3 linked regions of the Schizosaccharomyces pombe genome follow. The protein of the gene in region 3 purifies or fractionates together with the protein of the main gene of each other region. This does not show direct contact. Each region holds a gene or a part of one and is shown on either strand. Other genes may lie near its edges. The genes, in order: rga4, tea3 and tea4.

The links.
Region 1: the proteins of tea4 (region 3) and rga4 purify together in Schizosaccharomyces pombe (affinity purification with western blotting, with the first as the bait; one study listed by BioGRID). This does not show direct contact.
Region 2: the proteins of tea4 (region 3) and tea3 purify together in Schizosaccharomyces pombe (affinity purification with western blotting, with the first as the bait; one study listed by BioGRID). This does not show direct contact.

What each region holds. Positions count from the first base shown.
Region 1 is NC_003423.3:1,837,241-1,844,569, reverse strand, and holds rga4 (Rho-type GTPase-activating protein Rga4), read right to left. Parts: upstream 5,155-7,329; 5' UTR 4,948-5,154; coding exon 4,861-4,947; exon of another isoform or gene 4,724-4,860; coding exon 4,668-4,723; exon of another isoform or gene 4,526-4,667; coding exon 4,176-4,525; exon of another isoform or gene 4,113-4,175; coding exon 1,804-4,112; 3' UTR 1,383-1,803; downstream 1-1,382. Other genes in the region: protein Cbp7, read right to left, coding at 39-1,109; SPOM_SPBC28E12.02 (BICC1 family RNA-binding protein), read right to left, coding at 6,252-7,329. UniProt on the Schizosaccharomyces pombe protein: GTPase-activating protein for Rho-type proteins.
Region 2 is NC_003424.3:3,213,547-3,220,670, forward strand, and holds tea3 (cell end marker Tea3), read right to left. Parts: upstream 4,728-7,124; 5' UTR 4,522-4,727; coding exon 1,144-4,521; 3' UTR 967-1,143; downstream 1-966. Other genes in the region: DNA-binding transcription factor Thi1, read left to right, coding at 1-760; cardiolipin-specific phospholipase Cld1, read right to left, coding at 5,406-6,692. UniProt on the Schizosaccharomyces pombe protein: Acts as a cell end marker required for efficient new end take-off (NETO), whereby growth is activated at the cell end to generate bipolarity in extending cells. Also required for proper placement of the septum.
Region 3 is NC_003423.3:585,672-592,493, reverse strand, and holds tea4 (tip elongation aberrant protein Tea4), read right to left. Parts: upstream 4,136-6,822; 5' UTR 3,766-4,135; coding exon 1,300-3,765; 3' UTR 1,060-1,299; downstream 1-1,059. Other genes in the region: fap1 (L-pipecolate oxidase), read right to left, coding at 4,713-5,951; protein Vac8, read left to right, coding at 6,585-6,612, 6,658-6,740, 6,803-6,822. UniProt on the Schizosaccharomyces pombe protein: Cell polarity factor essential for the bipolar localization and function of structures containing the cell-end marker tea1 during the normal cell cycle.

The sequences.
Region 1 (7,329 bases), 1.3 Mb from region 3:
ATGGAATATGTTCGGTCAATTTTTCACCTCATATCAAATCAAAGCACTAATTTGGATACATCCTTATCAAAATATTCCTTTTCAAGATGAGCAAGACGCTTTCTTGAAATTATGCTATGAAACGACTGTTTATCGGGCTGAAACACTTTAGCATAAGGCGAATCACAAGTATAACAAGTTTGCTTTAAGAATGTAAATAGAGAATCATTACTGTCAATATGCTTTAAAGCGAACTTCAGTAACTCCTTAACATGAAGCAATCTTTCCCTAGGATCGAAATAAACTTGAGGACCAATATTAAAAAATTTGCATGCTTGATTTTCAGAGCTTTGAAGTAACAAGTGGGGAGAAAAAAATGATTTATCAAGAATATGGAAATATGGTAATTTAGAAAGTACTTCGATCCACGCATTCGCAGCTTTTTGCCTGAGTAATGGAGTAGGAAAAATTTGAATTAAAAAAGCCATAGAGTCACATAACTGTGCAGAAAGCATCTGTGAAAAATTTGAAAAATTTACATAGTCCCTTTCAAAGGAACCCATCAAGTCAAGTAAAGGGGACCTTTGGTTTAACGGAAACTGTTTACAGGCTCTAGCTACCGTACACTTCTCCAAAGGTGTACGAGGAAGTTTGCTAAGGTTGAGACGATAACTGAAAGAATCACTAATTAAATTAAATGGAAAAGATTTGAATAGAGTTTGGAACCTGCCAAGGTATATTCGCGGTCTGGTTTCAGTCTTTGGAAATAAACTGTAGCAATCCTCCCACAAGGAAACACTTTGATTTAAAAGTACAATGGTACTAGTTTCATCAAGACAGCTTCCAAATCTTTTCAAAAGGCTCCTTGTTTTGGTGATTTTAGAGTCCACAAGTAGGCATTCTATATGTTTGGGCTTTTGACTTCGAAGAAGAATGTTGTCAACTCGTTTAGGAATTGCAGATGAATTTTTTTTATAAACAATCGCCTTTGGCTCTAGCATTTTGCTGTGCAGCTTACAATGGGTTAGGATAACCGGTCTTTGGTCAACTGGTTTTTTTATTTGAGACTTTGCGACGAACCAGCCGGCTTCAGTCGGGCCCAAAATGCATCGTTTAATAACATCTGCCATTAGTAAAATTCCGTAATTTTGTTCACATAGATAATAAAATATCCTGCTTAAAGACCCTCTTTTCTCAAAAAAAAGTGGTAGTAAAACAGGAGTTGGTTTTTTGTTAGACGTTCGAAACTCTATTTAACCCCCTTCAAAAAATTTACCATATAACGTATATAATTTTTGTTTATAGGAATTGCTTTTGGTTTTTTAGAATTCCATTAAGATAATGGGCATGATATATCTACAAAATCACTTACTCACAATACGTTGCACTAGCATTTCCTAAGTTAGGGATCTTGGGAAAAAATGCTTCTTTAAATCCTTGAAAGCATAATAAAATTAAAAAAAAATACAAATTTCTCCTTTTTTATACATGCAATTGCATTTTATTCATAGCCTAGCATTGTGAGTAATGCCAAGTAGACTAAAACAGGGAAATGATTAAATAAAAGCGATGGATGTCAGTCTGCAGTGATAATGCATTATGAAGAAGCTATACGCCAAATCCATAAAACACTCATCTGCCACTGATTTCACGATGACATCTAAAAATGACCAAAAATGAAACTATCTTAGCAAATGCAAAAAGGAATCTCGATATAACTGCCCAAAGTTATGGTACAACTACTAAAACAACAAAAAAAGACGAATAAAGAATATAAAGGAACGTGCAAAACAAAAGAGCGAATTATTAAAGGATAGTGTGAATTTAGGCAAAGACTTCATGTACATGATCTATCAAAAACGCAAGACTGTAATTCTTAACAGTCATGTCAATAACGTCTCTGGAATTATCGGGGTCGCGTATTAATGTTGGGGAAAATACTACTGCAAGGTTCTTGGATGTCATTCGATTTGCATGACTATATGCAGCAACCCTTGCTAAATGTCTAATAATGAGCTGCAAAATTTCAGCATGAGCTGGAGGAAGACTTTTGATGACCATTATAAAACCGTCTAATTTATCTTGGAAAGAGGCACAATTTGCTGCTGTGATGAACGGAAAGTATTGGTCATAGGTAATAATTGGATTAGGAAGGTTGCGAAGATATTGCTTGAATACAGAAGTGACAGCAGAAATATCCTCACTTGGATCAAGTACCGTATCTTCATTTCTTAGTAACGCAACAATTTTTTTCATTTGAGAAGTTGCCCCTGATTTGCGATACAGACCTTCAAAATCCATGCCGTATGACTCGATAAAATTTATACAAGAAACGATAAGCGTCGGGACTCTCAAGAGTGTTAGCCTGTTTTGATCGAAGTCGTCAGGATTCAAAGCCCAAACAGGAGATTCGCTTTTTTTAGATTGATACTGACGATCTATAGTAGAACTAACGCAATCCTGATAATGTGCTCTAAGCTCATTGGAGTATTTACCGCAAAGTTTGCAGTGACCGACCGCTGGAACGAAATCCTCTTGTTCTTCAGAAGCTAAATGTTCTTCAGAAATACTGGGAGTACTCGACATGTGAGGAGAATCTCTTTTCCAATGAAACCGTTTAGAAAATGACTTCTTAAGATCTATTTTAGAGTTCCGTTTGTTATACCCTCCACTCTCCTTGTCTTTATTGTCTTTGGGTCTAAATCCAAGGCTAGATGCAACCATTTGTAGACGCGAAAACGATTCTCGCGGAGACGGGGTTGAAATCGTTCGGTTGGATTTTTTATCATTATTAAATATTCCGAAAGAGGAAGAAGTTCGCTTCTTATGCTGCTGCTCCCTCAAGTATGCCAATTCTCTCTCCAATTGATTGTTAAGGCTTACCAGTTCTGTGTTCTTAACATTCAGATATGCGGTTTCTTCCATTACAGTGCTGTAAGCGTTTTGCAATTTAGAGACAGTCGTAGACAAAGCGTCTCGCCTCAAAAGTAAGGTAGACAGTTCAGGTTGAAAAGATTTCCGTAAATAATCTAATCTATAATTTAAATCTGCAACCAACTCTTGCTTGAAAGCTTCGGGGGACACGGGAGTCTGCTGCTCTATGATAGAAGCCAACGAAGTCGCTTCCAACAATAAGGTTCCAACCTCAGCTTGAAGCTCTGAAATACGAATGGCGAGTTCATTTGCGCTTTCCTCTGTAGCATCAAATACGTTTGAAGTAAACACATCACTTGCTCTAACCAAAGAACTTCGATTGTATTCAGGTTCACATGCTTGATGCAAACTAACTTGCGACAAATTTAAACTTTTGGCCCGCGGGGAAGCCTCATAATTTGAAGAGTTCGTCAATCTTTTCTTCAAGCCGTTTGGTTCGCTACTAAGTCGTTTGTCATCTAACTTATTAAATACCGTAGGATATCTAGGAAATCTAGCCTTTGTAGGAGTTTCGTCGCTTTCCAATCCGTTAACGTAATATTCGTCAAGATTAGATAAACTGTTTCGATTTCTAGGAACCTTTAAATTACATTTATTTGTGACATCACGAAGAGCACCCCTTAAATGGATAGGAGATAGAGCTATTCTGCCAGACACATATCCATATTTAGATGGTGATGTTGTTGTCGAAACAGATTTGTAATTCATAGTAGAAGAGCGGCGAAGTGGAGGAGGATTAACAACGCTTTCATTTTTAGGAAGTTGAGGAAGCGTACCATTTTCGGTTGGTGATTGAACAAAGGCGTGATAAGCAACAGGTTGCTGCACGCTATTATTATTTACTACTGAGCTTTGCCTTGAAGAAACTGGTTCAATTGGTATCGAACTTCCAGAATGAAAAGAGTCACACGAATCAAATGGAGAGGCATTAGCTGAACGAAATGAGGGACCATTAGCTAGTGGAGAGGGAGAGGTTTTAACGAAAGAATTTTTGGGTTTAAGTAAGAAGTCCTTTTGGATGTCTTTGTAAGATTTTGCGGAGTTTATATCACCAGGTGTTTCATAACCATTAGTTTGAACTTTTAATTGAGGACGGAGAGAGTTTGTAGGAGAGCTGGTATTTTGCATTCGACCAGATAATACGGAGGATGGAGAATCAGACGCTATAAAATGCGGGTTTTGAAAGCCTTGGTTTTGCCCTAAAATTAAAGTTAGAAACATAAAGACAATATCAATAAATACTACATAAGCAACAAACTTACCAGTTAAAGAAGTGTTTTCCGCAGTTTGTGCGATATTCCTAAGAGGAATAAACCCTGATGCGCTTTCCATAACAGCCTTTTGATTCTCTTCATCTTGTTTACGCAAACAAGGAAGGCAGTAATGTTGACCTTTGAACTTGCCAAAAGCATTTGAATTAATGAAAGCTCGACAATTGGAGCAACAAGGATGATTAGCTTGACTATTGCTTACTGCGTTGAACTCGCAAATAGGAGTTGAGCAACCGTTGCAGATATCAACACATAATTTACAGAATATTTGCTTTTGATCGTCTTGAGAAAAATCTTCAGAGGAAGGGTCTAATTTTTTGTTGCAGTTCACACATTTAAAACTAGCAAACCGTCTTAATTAGTAAATCAAAACAACAAGAAGCACAAACAAGGGTAATCTTTGGAGCATTTTATATTTTTTTATTCAATCTATAAGAAAAAAAAAAGATCCAAAAATCCCAACGTTTGCATTTTCAATCATACCAATCGGAATGCCAACATTTCCCACCGAACCAAACTTGAGAGGTACTGGGAACACTCTAGAGCAAAAGTTAGTAAATGCCGTTCATTACAGCTGGGAAAAAATAAAAGAGCAGTGTCCAATTTCAAGACAGGGTCTCGTTTTGTGAAAAGACCGCTCTCCGGACACGGCGATTAAATTTTGAACCTCACATACTTCCCAACATTTAATACAAAAACAAGTACGTTCGGATGGCGTCTCCAAACTAAGTCTGTCCAGATGAAGTGTCGTACCCGAATTCATAAGGAAATCAATATTCTGAAAATTAAAAGAAAGGTGTTTCCCAAGAGAATGGATAGGTAAATTACACCAGCTCAAAAAATGAGCGGCAGCTAAGATAGAAAACTCTTTACGGTTTTATTCAAAGTTTGTTCTTGATTAAAAAATAAATAAAAATACCAAGGCTTTACAACATTTGCTAGCTCTTTTAAACTCGTAGCCGTTTGTGGTGGAGGTCAAAGAATAGGACCTTTGTTTATATAGAAGGCTACACTGGCATTTGTTCCTTTTGTTACCGCTATGGCTTTGCAGCGAATAAACCACCAGGTTTCGATCTAGCTATTATTAATATTTGCTTATTTTCCAGATTCTTTCTATATCGTTTCCTTATGTTTCATACTTTGTGTAAGTGATGGTTGCTTCCTTCATATTATTTTGAGATTTTGAAACATTTAAAATGATATTGCTTATACAAATTTATCGAGATTTATTGTACGACTAAAAATGAACTATACAACATTCCCCCTGTTCATCTTTCGTTAGTGTTATTAGCAATCCTGTCAGCGAGAACGAAGTATTGCTCGACTCTTGAGAAAAAATAAGAGTGGCTTGTTTCTGTGCTACTTGATTAGTTCGTTCAGTTAAGCGTAATATAATTTGTATAAAAAAAACCGAAGAAACCCAATAACCGCAAAGGGTGCATTACGGTTCACACGTCTTTTTTTATAGTCGAACGACGTCTTTATGTTTAACAACTCTTGTGTAATCCCTTTTTGTTTCTTTAATTTACTAATTTAATCATCATGCATTCCAAAGAAAGTGGATGGATTAACTCAATATCGTTTTCTCATCAAATACGATTCTAATTAACTGGTCAAAGAGTGTTAGATGTCACAGCGTATAGCAAGTTGATTAATAACGGTTAGTGCCAGTTTCTACTTCTTTTTACTGAAAAGATGTTTGTTGTTATTATATCAATCTAGCTGTGTTTATCGACGTTTTATCTTTTGTTTTCAATGACAATTTATTAACAAAATAAGAAATAAAAAAGGCATACGAACAGTGGTTGCCGTCCTGCACAAATCGTTGAACTGCTTAAAGTTTAAACTTGTCATGTGCTTCAAAATTCTGCGTGGATCACGTTCATTAAATTATATTGTGCACTTAAGATGTGTATCAAAGTTGATACAGTGGAGCACTTTTGATTTTCAAAAAATTTAGTTTCCGAATTTAATAACCAGCTTGAGTGTCTGTTATGGACATAAAAAATATAACGAGAAAGTGTGGTGATCTATGGGCAGGTCGATGACTGGATTCTGACTTAAAATTCAATTAGCAAACAAATACTTCGGGATGTCGTATCCTAATCCTTCAGCTGTCTTAATGAATAAAGATCGGACGGCCCACAAATTTTCGGAGAACTTTGATGGTGTGCGAATGAGCACGTTGTGCCCGTAACAGTCAAAAGGAGTAGTTGAGAATTCAATGTAACTATTATAAAGTTTAGTTACACGTTGGATTTGCTCTCCTCGAAATCCAATGAGTTTTTTGTGAATCTCCTCTGGAACGTAAAAGTGCATCTCAGCTGGAAATTCAAGCAACATTGTGTTCATTCCTTTAATTACTCTTTCCAATTCGTCACTATATATATCAACCGTGAATATACTCGTCGACTGGGGACAAAACAAGATGTCCCCATTCTTTAAGTTGAAACGGCATTGCTGCTTTACCTTATCCAGTTTTCCATTTTTTTTACCGGATATGAAATCTTGATCCTTGGTTGGGGCTTCAAGCAGTATCTGGTGCCATTGGGATTGTCCAAATTTATAAAATATTTTGCTTGCTTTATCCATTGCTATAGGCACGGTGTTTTCTTGTCCGAAATATTCAATCCCATTGGTTTTTAGGAGCATTTCGACTCCAGAAGCCATGCAAATTATTGCAATTTGAGCTACAAATTCTGTTGGTGGAATACTTAGCTTCTTAAGAGGAGAGAATGACATTTTTTCTCCTATTCCATTTGTTTCCACTATGGAGCCAGTCGAGGATACAATAGAGGACAATTCAGAGCTTGAAACTCCTTTTTCAATTGTAGACGCTCTTCTCCAAGAACCAGCAACTCTCAGAAAGTCTTCGTTGTCTTCAACTCCAAACTGAGTTTTTCCTTGTACATATTTACTTGCAAGCTTTGCCAATCGGAGTGCTGTTTTTTCAGAATTCGCTATAGAAGATGAGTAGATTTTGACTTTTGAATTTTCTGGGCTCGTTTCTCCTCCTTCTTTGAAATACTCAGGAAAGCGAATAAACGAAGAATTTTCTTCCATAATAAGCCGAAGCTCATCCATTTCGTAAGCGAGAAATTCGAAAAGCTTAACAAATGAAATTTCTGTTACGTGAGTAAACAGT
Region 2 (7,124 bases), on a different chromosome or scaffold from region 3:
TATGCTTACTACGAGAGTTATTATGGTAAAGAAATTAAAAGATAAAGATTTAACTGCTGAAAATCGTCGCTACATCCAGCTATGTGTTGAAAGCGCAACAAGGGTCATAAACATAGCACATCTTTTATTAACACATAAGTGTTTGTCCAGCTTATCGTTTTTCGGGCTGCATGTTCCATTTGCAAGCGCACCTATTTTACTCTTGTCTCTTCATTACGAAAACTCTCAGGATATTCAAGCTGTAGTCACAAAATTATGGCAGGTATTGGAATTTCTGAGTTCAAGGTGTGAATTTGCTAGAGAAAGTCTAAACTACCTTAAGTCATTTAACAAACAGTTATCTAGGCGCAATGCCCCAGACATTAATAATCCGATTGCAGATTTCCAAAATAGTTTTCAAAATTGGCAATCCTGGGTGGGAGATATGTCACATGGAGACATGCTTTCTACCTTTAAGCTTACAGGAGAAAGCTCAAATGGTAGTAATAGTACTCCAAACGAAGCATTCCAACCTTTTGACCAAACATCATCTCTCTATAATGTTCCGGGTCTAAACAAAAGTTATGTTAGTAACCAACCCAGTTTGCTCACACCTGAAACTTTTCTACCGGATCCAGTTCTCAATTTGGAAGTTGATAAACAATGGACGGCTCCTACGTTTTTGAGTTGGACGGAACTGCTAGGCCCTACTAATGTCTCTGAGCAGTCTTCGCATACTGCAGAGCAAACTTCAAATTTGACCCTTGAAAAAAATGGATGAATCTTTAATGGTTTTTTGCAGGTCTTTGTTTGTTTTAATTATTTCTACGTAATTCATCATATGCTTTGTTCGCGTGGTTAAGGAATTAGCATTTAATACCAGTTTAGTAATTTGCACTTGAGAGTATCCTCATCAATCTAATACTTTAAATTTTCTCTTACTTTTTAAAAGTTAATTAAATTTCATTACTTTTTAAAATATAAATGAGTCAATGTAAATGCAGTAGAAATAATTGCGTATTTTATTGTTAAATATAGTGGTAATTTACATACGTAGTCAAACGACTTGAGATTAAGTAGAAAAAATCAAACCACTTCAAAAAATTATTAAGAAAATTGTACAAACCAAAAAAGAGATAAAAAATCCTTAGTTGATGAATAGAGTTACATAAATGAATGACTAAGCTGCTGAAATGACTCATCTGAGCAATTGGCATATGTTATGGCTTTTTGATAATCATCCTCCAGTTGCTTAATACGACTGGCATAGTAATTATCATCAATTGCACGCATTTCTTCACCTGAAAATGAGCCCGCGGTATCATTTAGTTTTGAGCGAACATCATAATAATCTTTAGATACCTGAGGGGACAAAGACAAAAATTTTTGCTGACTGTTGATAACATCAGAAAGTCTTTTATGTAAATCATTGTTATCCGGGGCTTTTGTTTCTTCAGATGTCATCAAATTACCAAAATGATTACGATATTTTGTAAACACACCACCAGAAGGTATGTCAGATTCTTTTGAACTATGTGCAGCACTAGCATTATTGAATGAATCCTCTTCGTTAAAGTATGATCTTAAGGGAGAGGAGGAAGCTGAAAAGTCCGTAGGAAGATGAACGTCAGTAGAGTCCTTTCCTGATAACTGTTGATTCATTTTTGAATCAGCCAATGCAATTTGTACCTCAGAGAGCTTACGCTGAGTAATTTTTGCTTGCTCGGTAAGATCATTGACCTGATCAGAAAGTTTACTTTTCTCTGTCATTACAGAGGAATATGAATGCTTTAGATCATAGAGCTTTTGCTGAGAATTTAGTAGCTCTTTAGTGCGACCCTCACAAAGTCTCTGGGACTCACGTAACAACTCGTGAAGCCCTTCTAGCTGAGACTCCAAGTAGGAGATCTTTTGTTTCGACTTCGAAAACTCTTTAAGATTATCTTTATTTTCGTTAATAGAAGATAATAACTTTGATAATCCGCTTTGCATTATAGCTTTCGAGTATTTAGCATCAGACACTGATTGTTCTAAGGCTGACTCCAACTCTAGCGCACGAGATTGCAAATTTTCCAACTCAATCCGAACATTCTCATATTCGTACTGTAAATTTAAGCACTTCTGTTGCAACGTACTTTTCTCATCCCTTTCTCTACGGAGCGAATCTTCAAAAGACAATATGGCAGTATTGGACACATCAAGAGCACTAGCGGATGCTTCAATCACATTTGTCTGCATCTCCACTCGATCATGCATCTCAATTAGCTTCGTTTCCAGCTCATAATTTCCATACTCCAAAGCCTCGCAACGAGAACGATAATCGACTAACTCTTCTGAAATTTGCAATATCTGTGATTGTAGGTTTTCATTTTCTTTTTGTAAAGATAGTATTTTTGATGAATCTTCTTCAAACACACTACGAAGTTTATCATAATCTACACAAAGTTTCTCATTTCGAGATTTTAAGAGTTCAGAAGCGGATTCATTTTGCTTCAATAACTGTTGAAGTTCAGTATTTTTTTGATAATAAGAGGTTGCCTCTTCAAGAGTCCCTTGAACTTCGTACTCTAACTTTCCAACTTTTTCTATTAAAGATCCAACAGTTTCGTCCGTTGTCTTTTTCTGGATCAGTGAACGTGAATAATTTGCATTTTCCACGGCAGCATCTCTCTGAGCAGCCAATTTTGCGTTTTCAGATGCTAGGCTAACGATTTGCTTTTTAAACTTTTGTTCATTAGATTCAAGCATTTGCTCAATCACCTTCAGTATTTCCAAATAACTGAGCTGCTCTTTTTTCTCAAGCCTCAATTTTTCATCAACGTGTTGAAACAGGTTAGGAGGTTTGAGAGTATAGCCTTGTTGCATACAATATAACAGTTGCTCCTCAAGCCAAGCTACACGATCATCAGAATTAGAAAACTTAAAATCTGATTGGAGTTTAAGCAGAGAATTACTTTCACTTTCGTTGATTGGAGATGAAGATTCGGAAGACCTAGAAATAGTATCGTTTCCATTAGGTAAAGGAAGAGACGCAATAGGTTTCTCAATTTCGTAAGCAAAGGGGTCAGCTTGCCCAAACTCGTGAAGAGAGAAATCTGCTGAATGATTCATTCCAGAGGTTTTACTAAGGTTTCTCAAAGAATGTAATCCTTGTTCATCCAAGCTAGCATAGTGCCGATGCCTAGCTGATCTTACGGCTTTTTGATTTTGCTCCAAAAAATTGTTAAATTGACTAGACGAGGTGGATGTCACAGAATTCTTTTTGGAATGATTAGGACGGTCGTTTAGGTAACCAAGAGAAACCGTGTGGTTTGAAGCATTTGAAGGTTTCATGCTAATATGCTGAAGAACAGGAATATCAGAAAATTTATCCTTATCCCAATACAAATTTTTGGGATCTGCTTCATAACATAACAGTTGCTTAGGAGCGTCAAGTGCATTAAGATATAATAGTAAAATATGATTGTTTTTTGAAACAATTTTGTATGAAGATGAATCAGAAAGCAAAATAGGGATCGGATTTGAGACTAAGGACCACCGCTGTTGACTATAATTAAAAGCCCAAAGCTCGTTGAGTATCAACCCTTTATTATCACGACCACCATAAATGTAAACCGTGTCATCTATTGTAGTAGCTTGATGACCTTCCCGCGGACCTGGAAATCTTCCTATAGAACGAACCTCGGTCCATGAAAGTGTTTCTAAATCAAAAAGCCAAAGATCACTTAATGGACCAGTATCATTATGCCCTCCATGTACAAATATTTTTCCTTGGACAAGAGTAACTGAGTGATTTGAACGAGGTGGAGGGGATGAGCTATGCAAAAACGGTGTTTCCCATGACCAATCAGTCTCATCAAATTCCATATTAGCCTTTTCAACATTATTTGCATTTGCCTTTTGCTTGAGTTCTGATTGCGTCCTCCGATCAACCCCTTTGGTATCAAACAAATGTATATCATTCAAATATTTTCCTTGACATTCACCCCCAAATATCCATAATTTAGAGTCAACTAACAACATAGAATGTCCAGTGCGAGGCGATGGTAAGGGGGACTGTGTTGAAACCAAATTCCATTGATTACTCTTGAAATTGTATGCGTACAATGAATTATCGCCAACTTCAAATGTGGAATCTGTTTCTGAGTCGCATCCTCCGAAAAGATAAATAGTGTCAGCAGAACAAACGATAGAATGACCAACTCGAGCAGGAGAATCATTGTCTTCCCCTCTATTGTGAGAATAAACCGTGCATGAATCCAGGTCCAACTTAAACAAAGAGTTTGAAATACCAGATTTTTCTCGTCCTCCATGTAAGTACATGAATTTTTCATTCGCAGCATCTAGACAAGAAGCCGGTTTTACAGCTTCCCATTTAAAACTTTGGTTCGTAGATGTCCTTTTATCATTTTCTTTGACTTTGCGAACAACCCATGCACGTATATTTTGCTGATCAATGCTACCGGATTCCACTACATCAAGCTGTTCAGCAGACACATCCTGAGAGTTATCCGATTGACGGCTTAAAACCTTTTGAACCATGTATTGCGATCTTTACCTTGCAAAATCGCTTACTGGTTTTGCAGTTGCAGATGGTAATCAAAGCGAAAGTTTAATCCAAGGAGTTTTTTAAAAGGTTCGGTTTTTACGCTTAAAAAAGAAATAAAATAGAAAAAATATATATTTTAGTTTTAAAAAAGAATTAAAAAGTAAAATTTTCGAAATAATATGAAAAGAGCATAACTTGTGGAGGGTAATGGAAACACACAGTCCATCAGGAAACGGCAACTTAGAGTAGAGAAGTCTTAGAACAACGAATACAATTGCAATACCCTACAATAAATTTTTGTAATACTGTATGATGTTTATAATTTATATCTTCATTAAACATAAAGAAGGGAGAGTAGATACAAGTTTAAGCGCAATAGTATACATTACCGTTGAATGCTCTGTTTGAATTGAAATTTAGAAGTACGAAATATGCTTCACGTTTGAAAAGCTTAGAGCAAGAAAAATGTATTTTTCCAATTACTCTATAGGATAGAATTTAAAATAGACAACCACAAAAACTGTTATTTACTTTATAAGCTAATTGTAGTAAATGGCCTACAAATATTACAAAATTTGATTTATAAGGCACATTTTAAAAATAAAACATTTGAAAACACATGCTGGACAAGTAATCGGACAAAAAAATAAAATTGCGATAAATGAAGCAAATGAGCGTCAATGCAATAAAAATCGATTCAAAATGGACCGATAAAAAGTTAGGTAAAAAAAAGTCGTTCAATTGGAATCCAAAGAATAATGTGTAGTATAAATTAATGAATGAGGTCTATAACAGCATCACATGGGATAGTTTGCAGGACAAGAAAGAATAAATAAAAATAATGAAGCACTAAGCGAAGGGCATAAAAAATAAAAATTTACTCTGAAATCGAAGAAAAAGAACGTAAACTCATTCGTATCTCCTTTAGTACAATCTCATTAAAATCTTCAGGGTTATCAAGATAGCAATGGTGACCAGCATTTGAAATTATGTGGTGCTCCGCCTCAATATTCATCTCCTTCAATCTGTTTGTCGCTTCTAAACCAGCAACATCATCCATCCAATCTTTATCTCCATACATGAATATAGTTCGACACTTCAACATGCGCAAGCGATTCATAATACATCGTCTAGCGAAAGCTCCGGGAGCGAGCAAATTGCCAAGTGCATACTCGCTGGAACCCTTGAGACGAAATATTGAGTAGCAGTAATTATGTAATGCCCTAAACGTTTCCGGGGGAAGCGTTGAAAACCTTCTGCTAGACCAAAAACTCATTAGTTTAGGACCTAAAGGCCCGCTTAAACGAAGTAGAGAAAATGGTGTAACATTTTGCTCCCATAAGAAGGTGATAAATCTTGGAAGAGGATTCTTTGGCTTGCTTGGCCGGGAAGGCTCTAAACCTGTAGTTTCCTCTTGGGTTTGCAGAACCTCATTAGTAACATTACTTAAAGGAGGTTCATCCATAACAGCATGCACAGCAGAGGAAGCAACGGAATTGTAAACTTCCGCATCATCGTTGCTTGCAAAAGGGTTTTCAGGAATGGCAACTGGACTAACTAGTAAGAGTTTCTCAACACGTTCCGGATATTGCATGGCGTAGACAGCAGACAAATAACCTCCCATACTATGGCCCACAAGGATCATTTTCTCGATACCATGACCGATTCTCCATGTTTCTAATGACTCAGTGAAAAACCTCTCTGTTTCTTCGACCTTCTCTGAAGCGGTTTGCCCCTTGATATCGAAAGGCGGTCTTGACGAGTTTCCCATGCCTAGCCAATCAACAAAATAAGAATTAAAATCCTTTGTCACACCCTTAGTCAAACCATCCATGTTCCGAAAGTAAAAACCAAGACCAGCTCCATACCCATGCATGTAAACAATGCTTCGCTTGTTCGCTTTTCCTGTTGCTTTATCACTAACACAAACCTCATGTACCAATCCATCATTATCGTAGATTTTGGAATCTACAACTTCAACTAACCTTTCTGGGTCCTTTTCATTTTCCCGAATAAAATCGACAGTGTGCAGGACTTCACGCTCACATTGTTTCGCATATTCTTCAGAGCATGCTTGACGCCATTGCCTCCAGGACATGCCAAACGTTTGCGTATAAGAATTAGCTGCTTCCTCACTTCTCACCGCGACTTTCACTTGGCTCATAGTAACGGTGCAAACGCTGAATTCAACACAAAATGGTCAATGAAGGAGTCAACCCCGCGATAATGACAATACAAACAAATTACTGTTTATGAACTATTTAAAACAAAATAATTCCGATATTTAAATAAAATTCCGGATATTGGCTCGGCAATTGGAATTCAAAGTGTTGTGCTGTGGGTAAGTTTATGTAAGCAAGATACGAAGGTTTTGATCTGACAAAGCAATGGCATTGTAACAAGCAGCGGAAAAGCAGCACATTCTCTGACTTTTTTTCGTTAATCTTCGTAACATTTTGGCTGAATTAAAAAAAGGCGAACAAATGATGAAGCAAGTTTTCATGAAAATTTCATAGAAAGACAATTGAGGTTTTAGTTCAATACTTAATACAGCAATTGTTCAAATATGATAAAGTCCCTTTATGCAATAAATACT
Region 3 (6,822 bases):
ATTTAATTTTTTGAGTAGTCAAAAAAATTAGCACAAGTTGTAAACTTCACATTGTCCACTCGTGGTGGCGTGTTAAAAAATTACTTGATGTTTTAAACTAATACTTCTTATTTCGCATTCATAAAAAACAATGTTGAGAATAATCATGTATGGTGGTTGTACAAATGAAAACGGGTCAATTCAAAATGCATTTCATATCCGTCTCATTCTAAATTTTTCGTTATTTAGTCGCTTCGAATTATTGACTTTGTTTACTGTACGAACTGTTTTCTTTATTTAGCGCATATTGAAGATATTTGCATACTTTTTAGGAACTTTGTTTCTTCCTACAAACTCAATTCGTTACAGAAATAACATTGCTTTGTCTTTCCAATTAATAACAAGTCGTAAATTTGTAAAGGAATAAAAATTTTATTGTTCATTCTTACTTTTCCATGTTCCTTTACATATCTTCGTGCAATTACTAAAAGAATATTAAAAGTCAAATTTGAAAATTTCGCCCTTCAATTATGATGATGGTGAGAAATTGGTAGTCAAGATGCTAATTATCATCTAATTTAGCGTGAAAATTACCAGTGAAAAAACATAAATTATTTATTATGAGACAATCAATATGCCTATCGCTTACAAAATATACATTTAAATACACCGTTGGTTTGATGATGAATCCGATACCTTAAAAGTAGAAGCAGATGATATTCTCATATTAATGATTAATGAACATGTTCATCGTTTGTTAATATCTCATTTTTTTCGTTTAAAAGAGAAGAGAAATATTTTTTAATAAGAATCGCTATAAATCGTGCTAATTTTGTTTTTTAATACCCTATTGAATTTGATTCATCATGCCACATAAGTAAAGTACACTGGCTTATTTTTACGGATGCATAAAATCTATCATACCCTCAAAGCCTACTACTATCTGCTTGAGTAGTTTACATTTTCACTGCTCGCATTACTGTACAAAAAATATGATGCAGCGATACTATAATTTGAAATGGCATATAAGATAATTACTAGCTCATTTAATACTTCGGTAGATTTTACTTAAACACATTTATTTTATAGCGCTCAATAATCCGAATCATACCCGCACATTGAATTTTAGACCTTTATACAACTATGGTATGCTGTTAGTTATTAAAAAATATTATTAACAAGAAAAAAAAGTCAAACATAAAGACATTAACAAACAAATTTTTGAAACAGTTTAATCAAACAGAAAACTGATTTATAACGAGTGTAAATAGTTTGATAAAGGGGAAAAACATGGTATAACTTTTAAATTAATCAAAGATTTCAGCGATTCGTATTTAAGAGGGAGGCCATCTCATCTGATAAACCCTTCAATACGTTAGCAAAAATATCATCCAAGTCCGAGGACACCGATTCACCCTCGATATTACGAGAAACTCGGCGGGATGCCCTTACTCCCGCTGATTTTACACTCCAATATAGCCCGCTAAGAGAGTCTGGATCCAATATAAACTCTCTCAACCGACGATTAAATTCTTTGTTTTTAGTACTAACGTGGTCGTTATCGTACGCATGGATATCAGAAGCATGAGCCGAATCAACGAATGGCACCGAAGAGGAGTTATTATTTAATTCCGCAACCACAGATTGCTTGAATGGATTTTCATCATATTGCAAAGAAGCAGGAGAAGTGATAAGAGAGGAAAAGGAACTAGAAGAGGTAGATTCCTCTGTGTTCTTTCTTGGTAGCAAATCCTCATCGTGTGAAATCGAAGAGCTCGGGATTGCACTTGAAGCATCTAACTCAGGTGTAGGTATAACCATTTCCTCATTACACTCCAATGGAGCCGGGGATTCGTGTAGTAGCTCACGCATTTCGCTTAATTCATCTGCTAAACTTGTAAATCCACCCGCAAAACTTCTTCTGTTTATTTCGTTATTTACATGATGGTTACTCAATGTTGATAAATCTATTGAAGATTGAGAAAATGCTTTACGCTCCGCTGTTATGTATACAGAAGACGTTGTGCACTGTGCATCACTTTGCGAGGAAGAATCAACAGGTAAAGACATCTGACGAAGAAGCGAACTTGGTGATAATTCAACCTTATCTGCTTGCTTTCGGTTTTCGCTGTCTTCTTCGTCATCCTTTTGGAATCCTTTTGTTGGAGAGGATGGAGTAGATGAAGAGTATAATCGAGGGGAAAGAAGCTTTTCAGATGGCATTTCAATCGATACCGAATGTCGAATAGGGTACACTTCTAATTGTTTTAAGGATTGAACTGATAAATTATTGGGCATTTGACCAGAAATTGGTTCCTTTTCTACATCGTTTGGGGCATCCTGAGTAACATTAGATGTGTCAAAAGAGTCACTCTGAGAAACTATAATTGATTTTGGTGCATTCAATGAGATTTCCTTGTTATCACGAGATACATCATGAGTAAAGTTAGAGGATTCCGATACGGCGGAATAAGAAGAAGGCCGCAATGATTTATCAGTATTAGATGTAGACGAATAAGAAGAAAATGAAGCATTCGATTGCATTGCGTCAACTGATAGTGATCTTCGCAATGGAGAATCAACGGTTGCAGATGAAGCAGTTTTATGCTTATTTGCTATCCAAGTACTGTAAAGTGAAGGATCAGACTGGGTGGCATTGCCATATAATTCCTTGTTTCCTGCTATTGAGATATTTATTTTACTAATATTCGAATTTTCAGCATCTGGGTAAGCTGATGAGAATTTAGAGTAGGGGGAATGTGAATTTTTCGAATCTGCAGTAGTGGAAGAGCCATTAATTTCTGTTTCAACAATCTCAAGACCAAGGGGGGATGTACTTTGAAAAGAAGTAGAGTTAAACTGGTTAAACCCACCTTCCAGTTCAGTAAGATCCACGTAAGCAGGACTATCAGTTACATGATCCTCGGATTCGGAACGGTACTCAGCAGAGAGAGAAGAATCACTACTGTCCGAAAATTCTATTTCAAGACCATTCTCTGCGACAGTTCGGTTTACCATTGCCTCATAATCATTTTCAGAATCCATTTCATCATCGGAAGAATTAGAAGAACAAGTAAAGGTAACGCGTTTTATACGAAAATTTGGGGATGGAGCCTCCAAGGTTTTTTCCACAATATCTAAAGGCGGGAGAGTCACAGACTGCTGAGAATTGGACGTTTCCGAATTTTTATATTTATTTAATCGAGCCAAACGCTCTGAAGGAGTTTCAATGTATTCAGCAGGTAAATAGCCTATAGCCAAATTTTTGCACATTTTTACAAGCCACCAATAACTATTAGAATCATCTAATAAAATCATCATGTCTCCTTTAGTAGCATCAACTTGTCCTTCAACAGTAGCTTCGAAGCCTCGAATGGCATGAACAAAGTTGCAATCAATAACCTCTTCGTGAATAGATGGGGAAGAACTCAATTCTGCCTCATATAAAGCGTATTCTTCCTCTTCGTCCATAAAATCATCCTCATCTTCAGAGCGAAACTCATCATCTTCCACTACTTCATTATATTCAGTCCCACAATCCTCAAATTGAGACGATGTTAATGTAGTGTCTTCTTCTTGAGAATCGCTAATTTCTTGCGACGCTACAGTTTGGGGTTCACTATTTTCTCCTGATATAATCCTTTGTATCTCGAATGACTGCTCCAGATATTCTTCCGGAGAGTAACGACTTTCTATTATAGTGCTATCATTCTGTTGTGTCGGGTCAAAATGACTTTCCATAATTTCCATGCTGTCAGCACTACTGGCACTATTCATGTGTAACATATTGAAACAATGTAGTTAGCTCTCATGAACTTGAACAAATGTGCAAAAACAGCAAACACACTTTTCAGGTCTCAAAAACCGCTACTCCTAATGATAAAAACAAACACGTTGCAAAGGGATAAGAAACTCTCAACCTCATACAATTTATAACTGGTAAAAATTCAGGATACTGGCTAAAACGCTAGTGAAAACGGAAATACCGATCCTGATGAACATACACTCAAGTTGGGTTGATTAGAACGTCAATCGTAACAACGAATCCAGCAAAATCTTTTTGAAAATAAAACGATCTTGCTCTTCAAAATGTTAACATTCCAATAACTAGTGTAAAAATATAATATATTAACAAACTAAGTCGCCTCTAAATATTGCGGTAAGATATGCGTACTTGATGCTACGTAAATCCGAGATTGGCAGATAACGTAACAGTAAAACGTCGTTTAACCGATACAACGAATAAAAGCGAGTACGGTATTTGCATTTAAACAAAAAGCTTCTTGATCATTTTATTCTATTTTGATTTTTTTTTTTATGTTATTTCTAATTAGATTGTCAAATTTAATTATTTATAAATGTTTGAATTGCATCTAAGTATCAAAAACAACCTCAGTAAGCTGTGACGCTTTAGTTCTCTTAAAGCCAACGAGTTAGCTATATGATGCATATCTAAAATAATTGAAAAAAAGGTTTTACTTAGCATGCTTTGTAATATTAATTCAGGACATAAAGTTCGATGTAAAGGGTATAGAAAATGTCCCTGTTTTTATTCGAAAACAGTAAACCGACATAATCGTCTGGATGTTATAAAGTTGATGTTAATTGTTAATGTGTATACATTCAATGCTCGTAATATTTCGAATGAAGAAGAATCAATTAGTATTCAACACAAAAATAAGGTAGCCTAGAAAGATAGACGCTAGCCTTTCTTTTGTTTAGCATTGCACATCTTAGCTTAGCTCTTGTCGAGAGGGTCCAGCTCGGCTGTGGTCTAAAGCAGCAAACTCCAAATTTTCTTTCTTCCATCTCCACTTCTTCAATAAGGGCTCCTCTAACTCACGAAACATACACCCTATGCTATACTTCCCGAGGATTGGAAAGAATTTGAATCCATGGCCTGAACCACCTGTGCATACAAACAGATTTTCATAATCTGGATGATAATCAAATACAAACTCGGCATCGGCTGTGTCGGTATAATAACAAATACGGGTTTTGTAAAATGGCCTTTGACTAATTTCTTCGCCATAAGTACGTTGAAGGTTTCTGCGTAAATCTAATTCCGCTTCCTTGGGCAGGATAGGAGAAACGAGAGGTTTCTTTGGTGGAACAGATTCGACTTTTCCGGATTTAAGATTTTGCATTCTCGTAAATCCGTATCCATGGCGTGCAAATTTTAGATAACCATCGGGGGTAGGGGGAAAAATATAAAATCCAGTATCAAAATCTAAGTATACAGGATTTGTCAAAAAGCGGATGTACTCCTCAGGAGTCAATTTTATGTATGCGACTGGTTGACCGGTTGCCAAGAATCGTGTGTGGTCATTAGGTAAAAGAGATGCAGTCCATGCACCTGTAGCAAAAATAAGTTTTTCGGCCATGTAAGCTCCAGTAGTAGTCCTCACGCCTTTAACAACGTTTTCTTCTGTTATAAGCTCTTCAACAGTTCCCTCAGGTCCGCTAATGAAAGAAACACCGGCATGTGCTAAGTAATTAACTACGGATTTCACAGACTGCTCAGCGTTGGCCCATCCAGAACTAAAATTGGCATACCCAGCTTCTCCATCATTCAGCTCGCCAATCCATTTTGGAAAAAGTTTCCGCAATTCTTCTGTAGTTTGAAACTTTGCTGCTGACACACCCATTTTTGTCAGGTTTTCCAGACTCATGTCCCGATACTCAACATTGTCACGGCCAACAAACATAAGTCCTGATCCATAAAATTGCTCTTTAAAAAGTGGATTTGTGCGCCATTCCTCTAAAGCATCAATACCCATTGAACAATACACTGCATCCGCATAGTCTGAACGAATTATACGATTTGCATCGACTGAAGACCCATCGATAACAGGCGGAGGTGCTCGATCCAAGATTTTGATCGTATATCCACCACGTTTAGTCAACTCTAAAGCTGCAGATAATCCAAACACACCTGCACCAACAATGATTACGCTAGTATTCTTTACCATTCTTAATCCCAAAAATATTACAGATGCGGTTTAAATTAAATTTTAAAAGGTGGTTTAGCAGTCGGGCTTAATATATATTATCAGTACTCATTGCCAGCTACTAGTACTCCAAGATAAGGTGCTGTCTAGCGAAGTCAGGCATCGATATCGCAAAATCACAGTCTGTTGATACTTCTGATGTTAGCAGTAGTTCTTTTGATACAGAGTTAGTCACTTAGAAAGAATGAAAATAAATCAACTAAGCGAGTCTGATTTGAGCCGTGCAGAGGGAATGTGCCAATTTGCTAGCACAGGTCATGCCGAGTTATCAAAATCAACTATGGTCCAAAACAACCGGGTGTTTATTTAAAAATTATATTTTAGTCTTTATTTAAATGAACAATATCTTTTATTTTCACTCTATAGGAAAAATACTCTTCGCACTTGTCTTGTTTACATTTTAATTCTCCGAAACTCCACTTCGTTAACTAGCTTTGCGAGGTTTTGGGATTTTATAAGTTTGTTTATTGTACACTGTAAGTAACGTTATAAATGGATAACACAGCAACCCTGTTTTGCTAACTGTCCTTGCAATTTGCTTTTACTGTCACTTAACTTCCTCCAAACACTAAACAATCATATAAACAAAGTCAGATGGGCAATTGCTTGTCTTGTTGTGAGAGTATGAGTGCTTCTTTAAATCAAAAACTTATTAACAAATACATAGAATCAAAAGATGAACAGTATGAGCCTCTTTTGGCCGATCGGGAGAGGGAAGCTGTTGCGGATTTATTAAGCTTTCTTGAAGATGTTAGTGAATGTCGATTACTTTAAATTCTTACCTTCTCTTGACTAACGTTATCTTGTTGTAGAGAAATGAAGTCAACTTTTA